Rattus norvegicus: one gene and its partners. The protein of the gene in region 1 binds, or shares a complex with, the protein of each later gene. Links are inferred from orthologs where the notes say so. Each region holds a gene or a part of one and is shown on either strand. Other genes may lie near its edges.

The links.
Region 2: the proteins of Ccnc (region 1) and Med13 are in contact, whole or in part, in a cryo-EM structure (PDB 8TQC), measured with the Homo sapiens proteins. The link is inferred for Rattus norvegicus from reciprocal best matches to the Homo sapiens genes CCNC and MED13. Residues at the interface, in NP_005181.2 of Homo sapiens: Gln7, Gln13, Trp14, Leu16, Gln19, Lys23, Gln26, Lys27, Arg75, Tyr76, Glu144, Leu145, Asp147, Cys148, Ser221; in NP_005112.2 of Homo sapiens: Tyr1342, Ser1630, His1631, Val1732, Lys1733, Thr1734, Thr1736, Phe1738, Gly1739, Pro1740, Gly1741, Ala1743, Arg1897, Met1898, Ile1901, Asp1905.
Region 3: Ccnc (region 1) and Med31 share a complex: the UniProt entries of both Homo sapiens proteins name them as parts of the mediator complex. The link is inferred for Rattus norvegicus from reciprocal best matches to the Homo sapiens genes CCNC and MED31.
Region 4: Ccnc (region 1) and Med23 share a complex: the UniProt entries of both Homo sapiens proteins name them as parts of the mediator complex. The link is inferred for Rattus norvegicus from reciprocal best matches to the Homo sapiens genes CCNC and MED23.

What each region holds. Positions count from the first base shown.
Region 1 is NC_086023.1:40,066,683-40,070,182, forward strand, and holds part of Ccnc (cyclin-C), read left to right. Parts: intron 1-685; coding exon 686-770; intron 771-951; coding exon 952-1,021; intron 1,022-2,476; exon of another isoform or gene 2,477-2,526; intron 2,527-3,500. UniProt on the Homo sapiens protein: Component of the Mediator complex, a coactivator involved in regulated gene transcription of nearly all RNA polymerase II-dependent genes.
Region 2 is NC_086028.1:71,671,102-71,675,366, reverse strand, and holds the start of Med13 (mediator of RNA polymerase II transcription subunit 13), read left to right. Parts: upstream 1-1,465; 5' UTR 1,466-1,536; coding exon 1,537-1,602; intron 1,603-1,726; exon of another isoform or gene 1,727-2,610; intron 2,611-3,523; coding exon 3,524-3,758; intron 3,759-4,265. UniProt on the Homo sapiens protein: Component of the Mediator complex, a coactivator involved in the regulated transcription of nearly all RNA polymerase II-dependent genes.
Region 3 is NC_086028.1:57,336,090-57,340,145, forward strand, and holds the start of Med31 (mediator of RNA polymerase II transcription subunit 31), read right to left. Parts: upstream 2,801-4,056; 5' UTR 2,745-2,800; coding exon 2,717-2,744; intron 1,827-2,716; coding exon 1,749-1,826; intron 1,476-1,748; coding exon 1,379-1,475; intron 1-1,378. Other genes in the region: C10h17orf100 (uncharacterized protein C17orf100 homolog), read left to right, coding at 3,097-3,498. UniProt on the Homo sapiens protein: Component of the Mediator complex, a coactivator involved in the regulated transcription of nearly all RNA polymerase II-dependent genes.
Region 4 is NC_086019.1:22,353,955-22,358,124, reverse strand, and holds the start of Med23 (mediator of RNA polymerase II transcription subunit 23), read left to right. Parts: upstream 1-1,370; 5' UTR 1,371-1,450; coding exon 1,451-1,498; intron 1,499-1,790; coding exon 1,791-1,822; intron 1,823-1,980; coding exon 1,981-2,068; intron 2,069-3,800; coding exon 3,801-3,925; intron 3,926-4,170. UniProt on the Homo sapiens protein: Required for transcriptional activation subsequent to the assembly of the pre-initiation complex. Component of the Mediator complex, a coactivator involved in the regulated transcription of nearly all RNA polymerase II-dependent genes.

The sequences.
Region 1 (3,500 bases):
TTGTCATTTTGCCTTATAACTTTGCATTAGCAAGAAGGAGATTTAATCAAGAGCCCTTTACTGTGTCTGGGATAGCTTTGCTGCCTGTTCTTTTGTTTGTTTGTGTTGTTTGTTTATTGTATTTATCTTATGTGATTTGCACTTTGCCGGTATCTGGGCAGTTATCTGCTGTGCCTGATGCTGAGGAAGTTAGGATCTCCTGACGGAGTTACAGAGGACTATGAGCCACCATGTAGGTGTTAAGAATGGAACCCAGGTCTTATGCTCTTGACTCCTGAGCCATCTCCCCATCCTGTCACCTAGCTTTAATTCCGTTATTCTCTGCAATCCTACCTTGTCCTTATATCAAAGATTAACTATGGATTTCTTGGTAAATAACAATATCTGTCTTAATTTTTAAGCTACTCTATAGCTATTATGAAAAGCATTAAAATATGTAGTAAAGAAAGAATATTTGATACTCAGCCTGCTTATATTGCAAGGATAAATTGCAGGCAGTTTCTCTTATTGTTTATGAATATTGCTGCATTTGTAAGTCTTAGACTACTGGAGTTCAGAGGGTGTCAGAGTGTGCCTAGATGTGAAATGGTCATGATTGCAACGTAGAAATCACTAATAAAACTTAAGGTTATTAGTGTTGGTATACTGATGACAGATGGTACATTTAAACGTATTCTTTTTTTAGTTATCCAAGCATTAGGGGAACATCTTAAATTAAGACAACAAGTTATTGCTACTGCTACAGTCTATTTCAAGAGATTCTATGCCAGGTATGGTTGTTTTATTTATTATTTTTAATGCCTGGTTGGAATTCTTTTCTAATTTCCATGTACAATATATAAAATAAGTAAATCACTTGTTTACTGTAGAATTATGATTCCCAAAGTCCACCCCCACCCCAGTGTGTTTTCTAAATAGTCATCATTTAACTCTTGTCTAATCATATTTTAGGTATTCTCTGAAAAGTATAGATCCTGTATTAATGGCTCCTACATGTGTGTTTCTGGCATCCAAAGTAGAGGTATAAAACAATTTTCTGTTCTTCATGAAAATATTGATATGTCTGGTTTATCATAGATAGATAGATAGATAGATAGATAGATAAATAGATAGATAAATAGATAGATAGATAGATATTGCTTTTGTATGGTTAATCATAGTTATCCTATGATAGTTTATAGGAACTAATATGCACATCTTGAAAATGTTTTTATTTTTTTAATAAATATTTTATGTATCAGATGATTTAATGAGCCCTTTGCAAGTTCTTTTTTTTTCTTTTTTTTTTCATCTTTATTAACTTGGGTATTTCTTATTTACATCTCTATTCCTTTGCAAGTTCTAATTCAATCCTGTAACTCTGGAGTATATGGCAGTAGTATCCATGTGGGGTCAAAGGACCAAAGACCCTGACCCTGGTTTGACCCTGAGATCAGGGCCAGGGAAAGAACACCTTGACTTGAGCCCAAGCAAGAAACCAAGGCCAAGAAAAAGAATCCTTCCAGTCCCTGAGTTTGCCCCAAGATCAGGCCCATGCTACCCTGGAAAACAATCCTGCCCCCCACCCTCAAATACAGCCTACCTTCTTAGGTTTCTGCTGCTTCTCCTCCTTACCCAAGCAGGGTTGCAAACACCTTCTCTTGTCATTCCCAATAAGTCTTTATGTGAACTTTGTTGTGCAGTGTGACTTTGTGGTATTCCTTGGCTCCTGACTGGGAAGATGCCTTTCCTTCAGAGATGCAACACTGGGGAAAGGAATCCCCTCAGAACTGTAGCATTTACAATTGTCATTTTAGAAATGAGGAAACTAGGGCATAGAGAGAGCAGTGTTCGTATACTGGGTCAGTGGTTCCAATAGTCTAGATCTTCATCCTGTAACTTAATTGCTTGCTGTCTTTAAAAGACTATTTATCTGAGTGTGGTGGTGCATGCCTTTAATCCCAGCACCTGGGAGGCAGAGGCAGGTGGATCTCTATGTATTCAAGGCCAGCTTGAACCACAGTGAATTCTAAGTTCCAAGATAGCCAGAGGTTTGTAGTAAGACCCAGTCTTAAAACAACCAAAAAAAAAAAAAAAAAAAAAAAAAAAAAAGAAAAGAAAAAAGAAAAAGAAAGAAAGAAAACAAAGGAGGTAGCACAGCTTATCTACTATGGCCTGAGAATGTCTCTGCTCCTCACCCACATGCTTTTTGTTTACACCTGACTTCTCTGGTAACAAGCCACTGTGGGAGAGCAAAAAGGTAGAAAAGACTTTATAGACTCCAGCAAGGAAGTGTGGATAGTGAGAGCAGAAAAGGTAAGTAAGAGAAGACAGAGAAGGACTTGGACTGGGAACTGCATTTCTGCTCAACTTACTGTTTGCAATATTATTGAGAAAGTGTAACTACCCCCTAAAGCCCAAATAGTAGCAGATTCTGAGAACTGGCTTTTTTCTTAGCTAATCCACACAATTCCTAGTCTATTGTTTCTGTTCTTAGGTAATGTCTTTAGGATAATTGTATCCATGTGAATTGAATGACTTTAACCAGTAAGTTTGTTTCTTTTGTGTTCATTTTATCTTAGAAACATTCATGACATCTTGATTATCTCTTAAGTATGCAGAATTGAATATATTAGAATACTAAAACCCTTTCTAGGAACCTAAGTTAACTCTGTCCATGAGAGAGATAAAGTTTGAATAAATCTAGTTATAAGTCAGTCTATAAACAAGTCAGTTATAGTGTTTACCTAGTTCCCATGAGGCCTGGTTTCAGTCCTGAGGACCAGATGTGTATCGAATGTCTTTTTGAATAAAGAGGTCTTGTAGATGAGGTGTATTTTTAGTTGTGGTTGTTGAGTTACTTTTTCTTAAAGTTTTTTTTTATACAATGTATTTTGACCATGTTTTCTCCCCTACCCTAGCTTCTCGCAGATCCTTTTCCCTACTCACCCAGCTTAGTGTTCATTTTCTGTGTCTCAAACAAAGCAAAAACTAAAACAAAAAACATAAGACAAATATCGAAACAAAGCCAGTAAGAAACAAAAAAGCCTTCAAAAAAAAAAAAAAATCAAGCAACCAAGGACAAAAGCCATGTAGTTAATTTTGTGTTGTCCAACTATTCCTGGGCCTGGGGACTGCTTTAGAGTGTGTTGATTTGACTAGGGTCACTCCATTGGACCTTTGCCAGTAGGTATCAATTCCAGGTAGCATTTTCATTTACCCTCTCAGTATGTTGCATTACATTTTAACTCTAACCAAATCTTTCTGTTTTGTCTAATTGATTAGAAATTGTGGGCAAAATCATGTTTAACATACTATCTTCAGTTTTGAGTTTTTAGTTTTAATTATTGGGTTTTGAAGGTTAAATATAAATATATGTGCGCACATAAAGTTATAGATTACGTTTTTGTTTTTTTTTTTTTTTTTTTTTGGTTCTTTTTTTCAGAGCTGGGGACCGAACCCAGGGCCTTGCGCTTCCTAGGCAAGCGCTCTACCACTGAGCTAAATCCCCAACCCCAGAT
Region 2 (4,265 bases), on another chromosome or scaffold:
AGAACATTTTAAGACACTGAACAACTGTATAGACAGAGTACCAACTCTCATGATTCTTACTCTCAGAGTTCACTTGCTTCTCAAAATAACCATAGAAAGTAAGGATGGCAGTATAGTAATGTATGCCTTACATGGCTTAGCTGCTCCAGGCACTAGAGCTCAGGTTGTATTAATGTGTCACATAACAAATATAACGTTTGTTTCCCTCATTTTACAGATGAGGAAACTGAGTCACAAAGAGGTAAAAGACTGGCTTCGAATCCTGAACAGCAGGACTTTATTCCTAGCTTATTAACCACAAGGCCAGATCATTTCGTTTTTACCTTTTTATTATAACTTAAAAAGAGAGGGTGAGGTTGATGTCTATCCAGCTCTGATTTCTCTAGTCCTAGAGTTTCTCGATGTACCCAGAGGCCTTATGGAATAAATGAGAGTGCATTGGAATTTCTTTCTTTTTCTTTTCTTTCCTTTCTTTCTTTTGCCAACTTTCTCTTCCAAAGAATTCGAACTGATTTCCAAGTAATTCTGGGTTTTGAAGTGAACCTTCCTGTGCTGCACATTCCCCAGCCAGCAGAAAGCTAGGGCCAAGGCTTGGGTCATCTTAACCGGGGCATCCAGCAGATGGCGCCATCTCAGTAGCCACCAGCTGGCCGCCGGGTCCCCGGGGCTCCGAAAGCTTCCCTGCCCTCCCTCACCGCCTTCTCTCTCCCCCCCTCCCTACGGAGCCCGGCCCACGTGACCTCACGGCGGCCAATGGGCGAGCAGAGAGGGCGAGCTGGTCCCTGTGGCCGCCATTAAAGCGAAGGGAAAACCCGTGAATTCGGATTAAAGGGGGAAAAACACCGCCCGCTGGGCCCACAAAATGGGGGAGACTACGGCGTCCAGGCGGTGAGGCGGCAGGAGAGCAGACGTTAGGCAGGCTTGGCCCAGGGACAACACGAGGACAGAGCCGGAGAATGGACTGAGCCCGCAGACACCGCCACCACCTCCGCCGCTGAGGAGACTCTGGGCTTAAGGACATCGCCGCTGCCGGGCCGGGGGCCCGGGCTGCTCTGCCGGTCCTCGCCCTTCCCGCCCCTCCGCGGGCGTCCCCGGGCCGCGGAGAACCCTCCCGGGCGTCAGGGCTCGGCCTGCTCCCACTCCGGCTCTGACTATTTATCGTGTCCCTGATTGTTATTTTTTTTTGTTTTTCGTTTTTTCTTTTTTAAATCTTTTTTTTTTTTTCTGGTGGAAGGGACAGACATCCCTTCCCCTCCTCTCCAGAGAGGGACGCGCGTCCGCGGGCTCCGCAGTCCCGGCGGCCGGCCGAGCGCGGCGCGGCCCTCCCGCCTGCGGCCTCGGCCCCGGGCGGCTGGGTGCCTCCGGGCGGCGGGGGCCGCGGCGGCGCCGGGGGGCGGCGGGGAGGGCGGGCGGCCCGGCGGCCTCCTCCCCACCGCCCCCCGCCCTCCCCGGTGTCTGTGTTTCTCTCTCTGGTCGGAGGCGGCGGTAATGGCGGATGGTGGGTTGTGGCGCCGGCGGCGGCTGCTGTGAGGGACGATGAGTTCCTCCTTCGTGTCGAACGGGGCCAGCCTGGAAGATTGTCACTGTAACCTCTTCTGCCTGGTGAGTGCGGGGGCCGCGGGCGATGGGGGAGGGGGCCGCGCCGTGCGCCCTTGGGCCGTGGGGGAGGGGGTCCGGGTCGCATCCAGATGCCGGTGTCCCCGGGCTAGGCCCCGCCGCCGGAGTCGGCCTTCTCCGAGGCTCTGCGGCCGCCCCCGGGAGACAGCGTCCGCTCACCCACCGGCCAGGGCTCTGCTAGGAAGAGTCTTGCCTTTTTTTTTTTTTTTTTCTTTAAAGTCTTTCCCCTCCTCCTGTCTTGTTTTGGAGTCTTTTTCTCCATCGTAGTCTTGTCCTTAACTTGGGTTCTTATCTGGCCGGATAGTAATATTTTCTTATGTGCTTCTTGCTTGCCCCCCCTCCACCCCCCGCCCCTTGTATGGAACAGCGTATCCCTTTTCCACACTTTCCAGGATTGCCCCTGCCTGCTTCACTGCCTTTACGCCCTTCCCTTGTAAGTGGGCTTCTCTTAAACAGGACCCCCCAAAACTTATGTATTAAAACCCTCTTCGTTTTATAAGTTAAACTAACACAGGGGTAGTTTCCTTATGGGTGACTTCAGATCTTTGTGTAAAAACAGTGTTTGCCAGTTCATATGTTTTCTTTTTAAACTTTGAAAACATTTTGCCATTTTGACAATTTCTAGCCATCTTGCTTTTATTAGAACATTATGTTTTTGTGAGAGTGGAGGGGCTAGTGGAGGAGGTACTGTGGTTTCGCACTAAACGTTCTATATTTGTCAGTTTTGCTTACGTTTTAAGAATGTTTTGAGCTGGCTGTTCCTTTTATTGAACTGAAAAGTGTGGGGAAGCTGGAATTAGGGATGTTCTAGTATGTATATGTAGGTCGGCCCAAATCGGATAACACCCAATAGTTAAGACTTTTTGTCAAAAGTACCAACTGTTGCAAATATCTAGTCCTGAATTAAACGATATCCGAGCTTCGTGAATGACTTTAAGTTGGAGTGACTTTTTCATTTTTCTTGTGCTGTGGGAAATATTAAGTCTATCATAGGTAAGTGAATTAAGTGGGTGGAGCATAACTAGTTGGCAAGCGTAAACTGCCAGTCATGTATCAGCAGTTTCATTTTTGGCACCGTATGCTTTCTGTCACCAAGTTAGAGTAAAGAATTATGAATTTCCTTTGTTGAATCTCTTTCACGATATGGTAAATGGGGATCTTTAACGTACTTCTGCCTTACAGATTAGACTGGTTTTCTCGACAGTGTCCATTAATCAGCATCTCATCACATGTAGTAAGATGTACAGCAGGTTTAACGTTTCTGTCTTCCCCAACTGGATCTATTTTTGGCACTTCGGTTTTTTTGAAGATAGATTAGCACAAATCTGACAGCTCCTTGGAAGTAGTTCTTTTCCTGAAGATGTGTGCTCGTGGGGAATTAGCAGGCTTTTTTTTTCTTTTCAGAAAAACATTCAGAGTCTTTTCATTAGAGCCATGACGTCTTACGACGTTGCAATGAGGGCCTTTACTTTTCAGTTCACCAGGGAGCGACTGTGACTGACGGCTAGAGAGGAATGTAGGCTAGAGACGACAGACAGGCTTACCATCATTGTTTCCTTGGTCGGCTTCCGATATGCTGTGTTTATTACAGACTGGCTACTCACGGGCATCTTTGATATTTTATTTAACAGTTTTGTATTCTTTTCCTTCAGTTCTTGTTGGTTGAAACATTAAAATTGGCCATGGTGTTTTGTTTGTTTGTTTGTTTGTTTGTTTTTTTAATTTTGTCAACTTTCAGTTCTTAAGCATGAATTGAAAATAGTGATTTTAATGAATCAAAGACTTTATAGTGAATATATATTTATATATAAATATGTAGTAACATAATATATTATATTTAATAATCGATATTGTTTATTTGAGTGAATATACAATAATATAGATATTATGCTTTCTTTTCCTTCAGGCCGACCTGACAGGAATTAAGTGGAAAAGATATGTATGGCAAGGCCCAACTTCTGCCCCTATTCTGTTTCCGGTGACAGAAGAAGACCCCATTTTGAGCAGTTTTAGTCGATGCCTTAAGGCAGATGTACTCGGTGTTTGGCGGCGAGATCAAAGACCTGGAAGAAGAGAATTGTGGATATTTTGGTGGGGTAAAGATCCCAATTTTGCTGACCTTATTCACCATGACTTATCAGGTGAAAGCAATTTATCCTTTTTCAATGTGCCTTAGCAACGTTGTATACTTTCCCCAATGTGCATATGCTGTGGTGGGCTGTCTTGTCAGTGGGAAGCTATAAGAGCAGTTGCCATGCTCTGTTTAACCATCCTTGTTTTAGTTTCCTCAAGTTAGCCATGTAGATTACAGCCCAGCTCCCTTCTGTAGTTTCTCACAGACAGTTTGTATCTAGGGAAAGCATTTTCATTAACCTGAGAAAAATGGAATCTGGAAGCATGGTGTTTTTCATAGTTATATAATAGTTTTGAAGTCAAGTGTAACTCACCTTTGAGTCTATTTTGCTATGTTCTTTTTGTCTAACCCTGTGGGCGGGTCTAGAAATGTAACTTTGGCATATATTTTCAAAAGTATAGTTTTATTTTAATATTATTTAGGATTATGTGTTAACCCAGGGAGGTATATGCTGTTTTTTGGGGGGTGGATGGGAGTGTCTTTTAGATACTGCTTCATCAAAGAATAAATTACT
Region 3 (4,056 bases), on another chromosome or scaffold:
CCAAGAGGACACAGATGAACAGAATAAGGAACAAGCCTACAAACGGCTTAGAGCTACAAGGAGGTGTATTTGATCAGAGTATATAAGAAGAGCTCCCTTACCTCTGGCTATCAATGGAGTAAGCTGCCTCTAATAGTAGAGGGACCTATGATCATAGGGAGCCTCCAACAGAGCGGAGACAATCATCTTTCAACAGCTGGGCTGGAGAGACTGAGCTTGAAGGTGGCTAAAAGTTTGCTAACATGTAACATGTTATACTTTTCTTTCTTTTTTTTTTTTTCTTTTTTTTTTTTTTCTCGGAGCTGGGGACTGAACCCAGGGCCTTGTGCTTCCTAGGCAAGCGCTCTACCACTGAGCTAAATCCCCAACCCCATACTTTTCTAATAGTAATTTCAAGCCTATCATTTGGATTCCTAGAGGAATCTAGAATTGCATCATGAAGAGCAAATCTACAGGCAGCCCAGGAATCAAGTCAGAAAAATGACTACGATTAAAAAAAAAAAAAAGGTTTGAAATGTTTTCCTCTAATTTTTAAAATAGGGTCTCTCTGTGTGGCCCTGAATGGCCTGAAGCTTGCAACATAATCAGGCTGGCCTCAAATTCACGGAGATCTGCCTGACTCTGCCTCTTGAGAGCTGGGATTAAAGGGACACCAAGCTACTTCTGGGGTTTTTGTTGTTGTCCCCTCCTTTGGGGCAGTGTCTAGACAGGGTTTACCTGGGTAGAGTGGCTGTCCTGGAAGCAGCTCTGGCCTTGAACTCACACATGCGCCCGCCTCTGCCTCCCAAATGTTGGGATTAAAGCCAGCTTGGCTTTCTTTTCTCTTTTTAAGTCAAAGCAGAGTTTGATGTGATATTGTTGTGTCTGTTCTTTTACAGTGAGTTAATACGCACAGTGATTGAAACAAAGGACACCACAAAGAAAGGCAGGACCTCTAAGACTCTCAGGAAACAGTTCTTCCTACCGTCACAGGTTATGGGTTGTTAGGCCTCAAAACCCCAGAAAGACAGGGGCAGTGCTAAGTGACATGGTTAGACACGACCAAATTACATTAGAACTGTAGTCTACAACAGTTCACTGGATCTTAGCCTGCACGAACAGTATGCTCTGACTTACACTGCCAAGAGAGTAAGCTGGCTCCCACGTAGACAGTTCTTTGGTTTTGTTTGAAGGGAGTGAGGTAAGAATGGTAGCAGAAATAAATGAAATTCCTGTCATAATCAACCCAAGTTAGAGATAACAGCGTCTTACATCAACTAAAAGCAGAAAGATCCCAAATGCTGTTTTCCATTCTGACACCGAGAAAACTGCTAAATAATAGCACTTAGTATTTATAATAAAGTACACACAGCTTTGGGATTTTAAAAATTAAACTTACTTTAGATATTTGGCATATTCTGGTTCTTTCCAGTAAAGCAAGTACTTAAGATAATTAACAAAAGCTTTGTCTTTGAAGTAACCTCTTTGGGCGAGAACTGAAAGACACAAAGAAACACTCTGTATGTCAACCACTGCTGGGCTGCTGATCTGTAATCTCTTAAGTAAAGTAGCTCTTCTTAACATCCCTACCGACAAAACACAAGGGATTAAAAAACACAAGCCCTTGTTTGCTCAGTTGATACTTACAGACCAGCACAAGTAAAACCCCAAACACATCGAAGTAAATAAATACTATTACAAATTGCATCTCTTCTCAGAAACCATTAAGATCTAGTGAGCTACTTAAGTTAATGATGTACTTAACTTACAATTAAGGTAATTTGGGTTGGCTAAACATTGCACAAATTCCAACTCCAACTGAAACCGAAGTCGATTTCCAGCATCATCTAGGAGAAAAGACAGTAAAAAAAAAAAGAGAAAGAAGGAAGGAACGATCACCCAAAATAAAAGTCACAATACAAACATTGATTTGTAGAAACAAAAATAAAACGCAGGTCAAACAGCTCAGCAAGTAAAGGTGCTTGCTGCAAAGTCTGATGACCTGAGTTCGATTCCTGGAACCTACAGGGTTGTAGGAAGACAACCGATTTCTGCAAGTTGTCCTCTAACCTTGGCATGCACCGCCGCTCACCCCCATAAACACACACACACATGCACACTCATGAATGAACTCAAATATCAAAGTGTGGAAGAAACTTCCTTAGAAATTTAGTTTAATTCACTACTTAGTGAGCCCTGTTTCCAAAACAAAAATAGTAATAAAAAAATCCTTTAAAGTTCGTTGAGGAAAAAATATGTAGAACCTGTACGCCACTGTGGAAGGACGTGAGCGGAGATTATCGGATAGTCTGCAATAGCTGTACGGTTCCCTATGTTGTTATAACCACAACTAATTACGTTAAGCAAAAACAAAGTGCTACACAAAAACGAAGCAGGAATGATTAAACAATGGAGAGAAGACGGTGATATGCATTAGAATACACAGGTTACCGACATTTCAGGCAAGTTTGGAGAAGTTCCAAAGAGCAGACAGTGGAAGGTCTCAGTCCTTTCTATGCGCCCCGGCCCGCCCCGCGAGTCAGGGTTGGAGTAGGGGTTAGAGCAACACAGGAGCAAAGTTGGTCCTACAGGCCATATTCTGGGGGGCAACACCGCCTTCTCCTCCGCCGGTCCCAACTCTAAGGATGAGGAGTTGAGCCCGGAAGACGGCGCAGGGGAAGGGAAACGGGAGAGGATTTTGGGGCGAAGGACCATTCCCGTGCAAAACACAACGCACCTGTCTCCATAGCGACGGCCGCGGCCATAGCAAGCAGAAAGGCGCAAACACTACCAACCCGACCCAACCGCAGCCCGGATTGGTGAAGGAGAATCCGGAAGTCACGGGTCCTACTTCCGGTCGCGGGGCAGAGTGGGACACGAGGGCGGGGACAACTTCACTTTGGGGAAGAGTGGCCCCGCCCATCTGTGCGGACCGGGCCGACTGCGCGCGCAGATATCGAGCGGGGCGTGCCGGAGGGCTTCTCTGATTTCAGGTCTGAGTCCTGCTGCCTACTCTGATGTAATACACCTCTCTGACGTCACCTTCCCCCGGGTGGCGTGACGCAGAGCATGATCCTTGGGCTTCTTTGTTCCTCCTGACCAAAGTGTACGGGCAGGATGGCCTCGCCCCTTAGGAGCAAGTCCTCCGTCCCGCGAGTGGAAAGCACCCGCCACAAGGAGACATCGACTGTCCGCATGGAGACGTCGTCCCACCGCGAGGAAACGTCATCCCACCGCGTGGAGACGTCCTCCCGGCAGGTTCTAACGTCTTCCCGGCAAGTGGAGACCTCCCAGCGCCACCGAGAGGGACCCTCCCTCACCCCCTCCGCGAAGCGACTCCCTCAATTCCTCGAGGTGTCCTCCCAGCACGTGGAAACCTCCTCGCAGTGCATGGAAACGTCCTCCCGCCACGTCAGGGCGTCGTCATCCCTGCGGGTGGAGACTACTGTGCACCGCGTAGAGAGCCCAGCCAGGCGAGACAAGCAAGCCACTCGGCAGAGTGCCAGAATGACTCGATGAAGTGCCATGGTCCTTAGCCAGGACTGAGGAATTGCCAGCCAGCTTCCAGGAGAGCCAAGTATCTTTGGTTTCATGGAAACAGCCCATAAAACAGTGTAAGAAGCAGGCTGTGGTTTCTGGGCACTGTTAACATGTATTGACATTGCAGCACCTTAGTCCATCCTGCTGTTGACCCAGCGTACTATTAACCTGAAGCCAGCACAGAAAGGTTTCCGATTTGTAGTACTGTGTAAACCCAGACGATGGACAAAGAGATTCTTTGAGTCTCTACACCAGGTAAGTTTTATAGTCTTAGGTCCCTCTAGAATGTGTTGACGACTTGAAATCTGCGAAGAGGGGCCAGATTTGTCATGTTTCTTGACTACTGGCCTGATCATATACCTGCTTGAAACCTACAGAGCAAGGCATCATCTTTCACAAATTGTTAATTACCCTTTAATAATATTTATATTTCATAATAAGTTTTCTCGTGTTAAGTTGTTATACACAGTATTCCATCTACACTTTAAAAAATAGGTCAGGAGCTATTAGAAAAATAAGGGCAGGGCAATTGAGAAA
Region 4 (4,170 bases), on another chromosome or scaffold:
AAATTGTATGAAAACTGACCAGCAGTCATGAAAGCTACTTCGAGAAAAGTATGGACTTAAAAACCAAAACTAGAACAAAGTTTCTGGAAGAAAACGTATGAATAGCACCATGCATGGCTTTAGGAGAGACAATAACAAAAAATAAATAAAAGTATTCATTAAAATCAATCTACAGGGGCTGGAGAGATGGTTCAGTGGTTAAGAGCACTGACTGCTCTTCCAGAGGTCCTGAGTTCAATTCCCAGCAACCACATGGTGGCTCACAACCATCTGAAATAGGATCTGGTGCCCTCTTCTGGTGTGCCTGGAGACAGCAACAGTATGCTCATATACATTAAATAAATAAATCTTAAAAAAAAATCAATCTACAGCAAAAGAGAGTGTTTTAGAAAACAAGAAAACACTCCATCGCTCAGGAGGTTCAGGCAGATTTTTAGATTGTGATTTCAAGGCTAACCTGGGCTATATAGTGAGCTCCAGGTTAGCCCAGACTATACTAGACCCTGTCTTGAAAGACAAGAGGAGAGGAAGTGAGAAATCTGGGGGGAGACAAAAGGAGAAGGGAGAGGAGAAAAAAGAGGAGGGGTGCGAAGAGAGGTGGGAGAAAGCAAGTATGTCAAGGAAAAATGGTGGCTATATAAGGTGAAAAACTTAAATACAAAATGTATTCGAACCACAAATAAACTTATGAGAAATTGTCTGATAGTAGACAAATTTAAACAGTCTAGTCATAAATATCAAGGATGTGGAAAATTAACGACGATATAGTTTGAAAATGGTTTCTGGATGTAGGGCTGTGTGACTGAGCCAGTGGGCACATATGATGTCAGAAATTTACCAGGATGGTGGGAAATAGTCTGTTTTACAATGACGTGCTTAATACAGCCACTTACTTGCAAATTAATAATAATGCGTTTATTCCGGGTTTTTTTTTTTCAACATCCAATAAAAGATGACGACATACCCATCACTGTGCTAGCTACTGAGGCTACCATAGTGAAGACTTGGATTCTATTGGGCAAGAATAACGTGTTATCAACTGCTTCAACGAGGTCAGCTCTTGACAGTCACCCACTTGGTTCTGGCTGCAGCCCTTGTGCTTCTGGGCTATATATAAGTGAACTACAAGGAGCCGCGTCCGAGAAGCCAGGCTGGACGCAGCTCCGGCTCCAGCCAGGAGGTGGTGGCCTTGCTGTCCAAGGCTGTGTCAGCGATCAAGCAGCGTTGTCAGCTTGCGGGCCACATCAGCACGCAGAACCATCAAGCAGAGATACGGATTTTGGAGGGGCTGGTAACGGGTGAGCACCGGGCAGGCTCATTTGCGGAGCACCAAAGGAAGTAACAGAAAGAGCGGCGGCTTCCTGTTGGTGGCTCCGCCCCCTCGCTCCATTCTTCCCAGGTCTAGGGGTTCACCCGGTGGTTGCCGGGTACCCCGGAAGGCCGGGACTCGATGGTACCAATGGAGACGCAACTGCAGAGCATTTTCGAGGAGGTGGTGGTGAGTGCAACTGTCCGTAACCCAGGGCAATGGCTCCGGGAGGGGCAGGCTGCAGGTCCAACTCTGGGCTTGGGGCAGCTTCTTCCCTGCCCACTGTGTTGACATGGGCGTTTGAACTAGGGTGGCGGTCCCCCGGACTGCTGTCAGATCCGAGAAAGTATAGTTAGTTCTCGTCGCGGTCCCGATAATGTCTTGCACAATATTGCCCGAGAATATTTCTTTAGGGGACATTTCCAACCCACCTCCTTTTAGTATTCAGATCGTTTACTATTTTTTATTTGTTTGTTTGCAGAAAACAGAAATTATAGAAGAGGCTTTCCCAGGGTGAGTATGTGGCAGGCAGATTTTTGTGGGGTTTTTGTTTGTAGATTTATCTTTGTTAGATGTCACTTAAGTTGGTTTGGGGGAGTTAAAAACATTTACCTTACTGGCTGTGTACTCTTTTAAAACTAGTAGCAAATAATGCGATTTTTGTTTTTCAGCATGTTTATGGATACCCCCGAGGATGAAAAAACAAAACTTATTAGCTGTTTGGCAGCCTTCCGGCAGTTTTGGAATGGACTTTCTCAGGTAAGACATTTCCTGTTCATCATCCAATTAATGACTTTTGACGCCCCACCCCCTTTTTTAAAAAAGATTTATTTATTTTTATTTATATGAATACACGGTAGCTGTCTTCAGACACACACCAGAAGATTCCATTACACATAACCACATGTGAGCCAGCATGTGGTTGCTGGGAATTGAACTCAGGACCTCTGGAAGGACAGTCAGTGCTCTTAACCACTGAGCCATCTCTCCAGACCCTATTTCTTATTTCTTATAGTGGTGTAGCATATTGTTATGTGTCCTTACCTCCTTTATTTACTAACTACCTTCTTGCTTTCAAATTTTTCTTTCTTTTTTTTCCAGATAAAGGTTTGCTATGTAGCCCGGGCTAGAGTTGAACTTTTAGCATTTCCCTTCTTTTGCTTCCTGGCATCATAGCATGGACCACCACACTTAGCTAGATGTTTCTCTTCAGTTTTCTACTTTAAGTAGTGTCACAGTAAATCATGCTATTGACCAGGCATCGGATTGATAATCAAAAGCTAGTTGTTTTGTTTTTTTCCTTAGTTACAGAGGGGAGGTGTGTAACACACATGACACAGTCTCTGTAACCTTGATTTGCCTGGGACTTGATATGTAGTCCAGATTGGTTATGGGCTTATGACCCTCCTGTCTCTTCCTCCTCAGTACTGGGATGTAAGCGTTCATAACCACCCCAGCAATTTATGATTTTGTGGAAATTACCTAATTATTTCTTATGAGAGTTATCTAGTTTACATTCTCAACACCAACAACTGATTTAATTCCTTAAAGGCATACACTGGAATAGTAATAATTTCTTATCCTTGTGTATCAAGCACTGAGTTTTATCTTGGTAAAATGTTACTTTGTGTTTCTTTCAATATTTAGCATATTTTATGCATTTTTAATTTTTAAATATTTGTTGGGCTTTTTTTCTTTTTGGTGTGTGTGTGTGTGTGTGTGTGTGTGTGTGTGTGTGTGTGTGTGACAGTACTTGTGTACAGGTCAGAAAACAGCTTATAAGGGAGAATCTTTCTCTACTATATGGGTCCTGGGAATCAAACTCAACACAGCAAGTGCCGTGTGTGCCGAGCTCCTTAACGGCACATGAAATTGCTAATGTAATTCCCTAAGCATTTAGTGACTTACTGTGCGACCTTACAGGATGTTTATGTAGCGATATAGAAAGATACAAATAAATGAGTTTTCAGTCGGCTATGAGTCTGTTAATATAATCTTAACTATTTTGGAGGTCTCATGGTGAAAGTTTAATTTATATAATGGTAAGATTTTACAATTGATATAACAAATACTTATTTATTTGGTTGAGGACAGTCTCTGCTAGCTATAACTCGGGTTGACTTAGGAATCTATACACGGCCCAGGGTGGCCTTACCCACGCCTCCCCCTTCAGGTACTAGGTTTATAGGCCGGCACTCCCGTGCCCATGGCTGAATCTGACTCTTTTTTTTTTTTTTTTTTTGGTTCTTTTTTTCGGAGCTGGGGACCGAACCCAGGGCCTTGCGCTTCCTAAGTAAGCGCTCTACCACTGAACTAAATCCCCAGCCCCGAATCTGACTCTTTTCATCGTGCTCTTTCAGAAATCATTTTCATTTATGGATGTTCACGGAGAACTATTTCCTTTACAGTGTTGATTGACTTTCAGGTATAATATGTGTGAGTTTGAAATCGAAACCTCAGGCCCAAAATAAAAGTGTTTTCTGACTTTTAGGAGTCTCATGAACAGTGTGTCCAGTGGATTGTTAAATTTATTCACGGCCAACATAGCCCGAAAAGGATTTCCTTTCTCTATGACTGCTTAGCCATGGCAGTTGAGACTGGTCTTCTTCCACCCAGGTATGTTTGGGTGGGGATGGGCAGTGGGAAGACCCTTCATTGTCAAGTTGCGGAATAGCTTTGAGGTTGTTGTACAGAAACAAGGGATGGGACGGAGGTGTGGAGCTCATCTGTAAGTTGGCTTATGAGGCAGGCTTTCTGTTTTAAGTTTATTCTGTTTTTATGTATACGCATCTGTGTTAGTGGTTGCAGTATATGTAGCTATGCCTGAGGAGGCCGGGAGAGGGCGTTAGACCCTTTGGAGC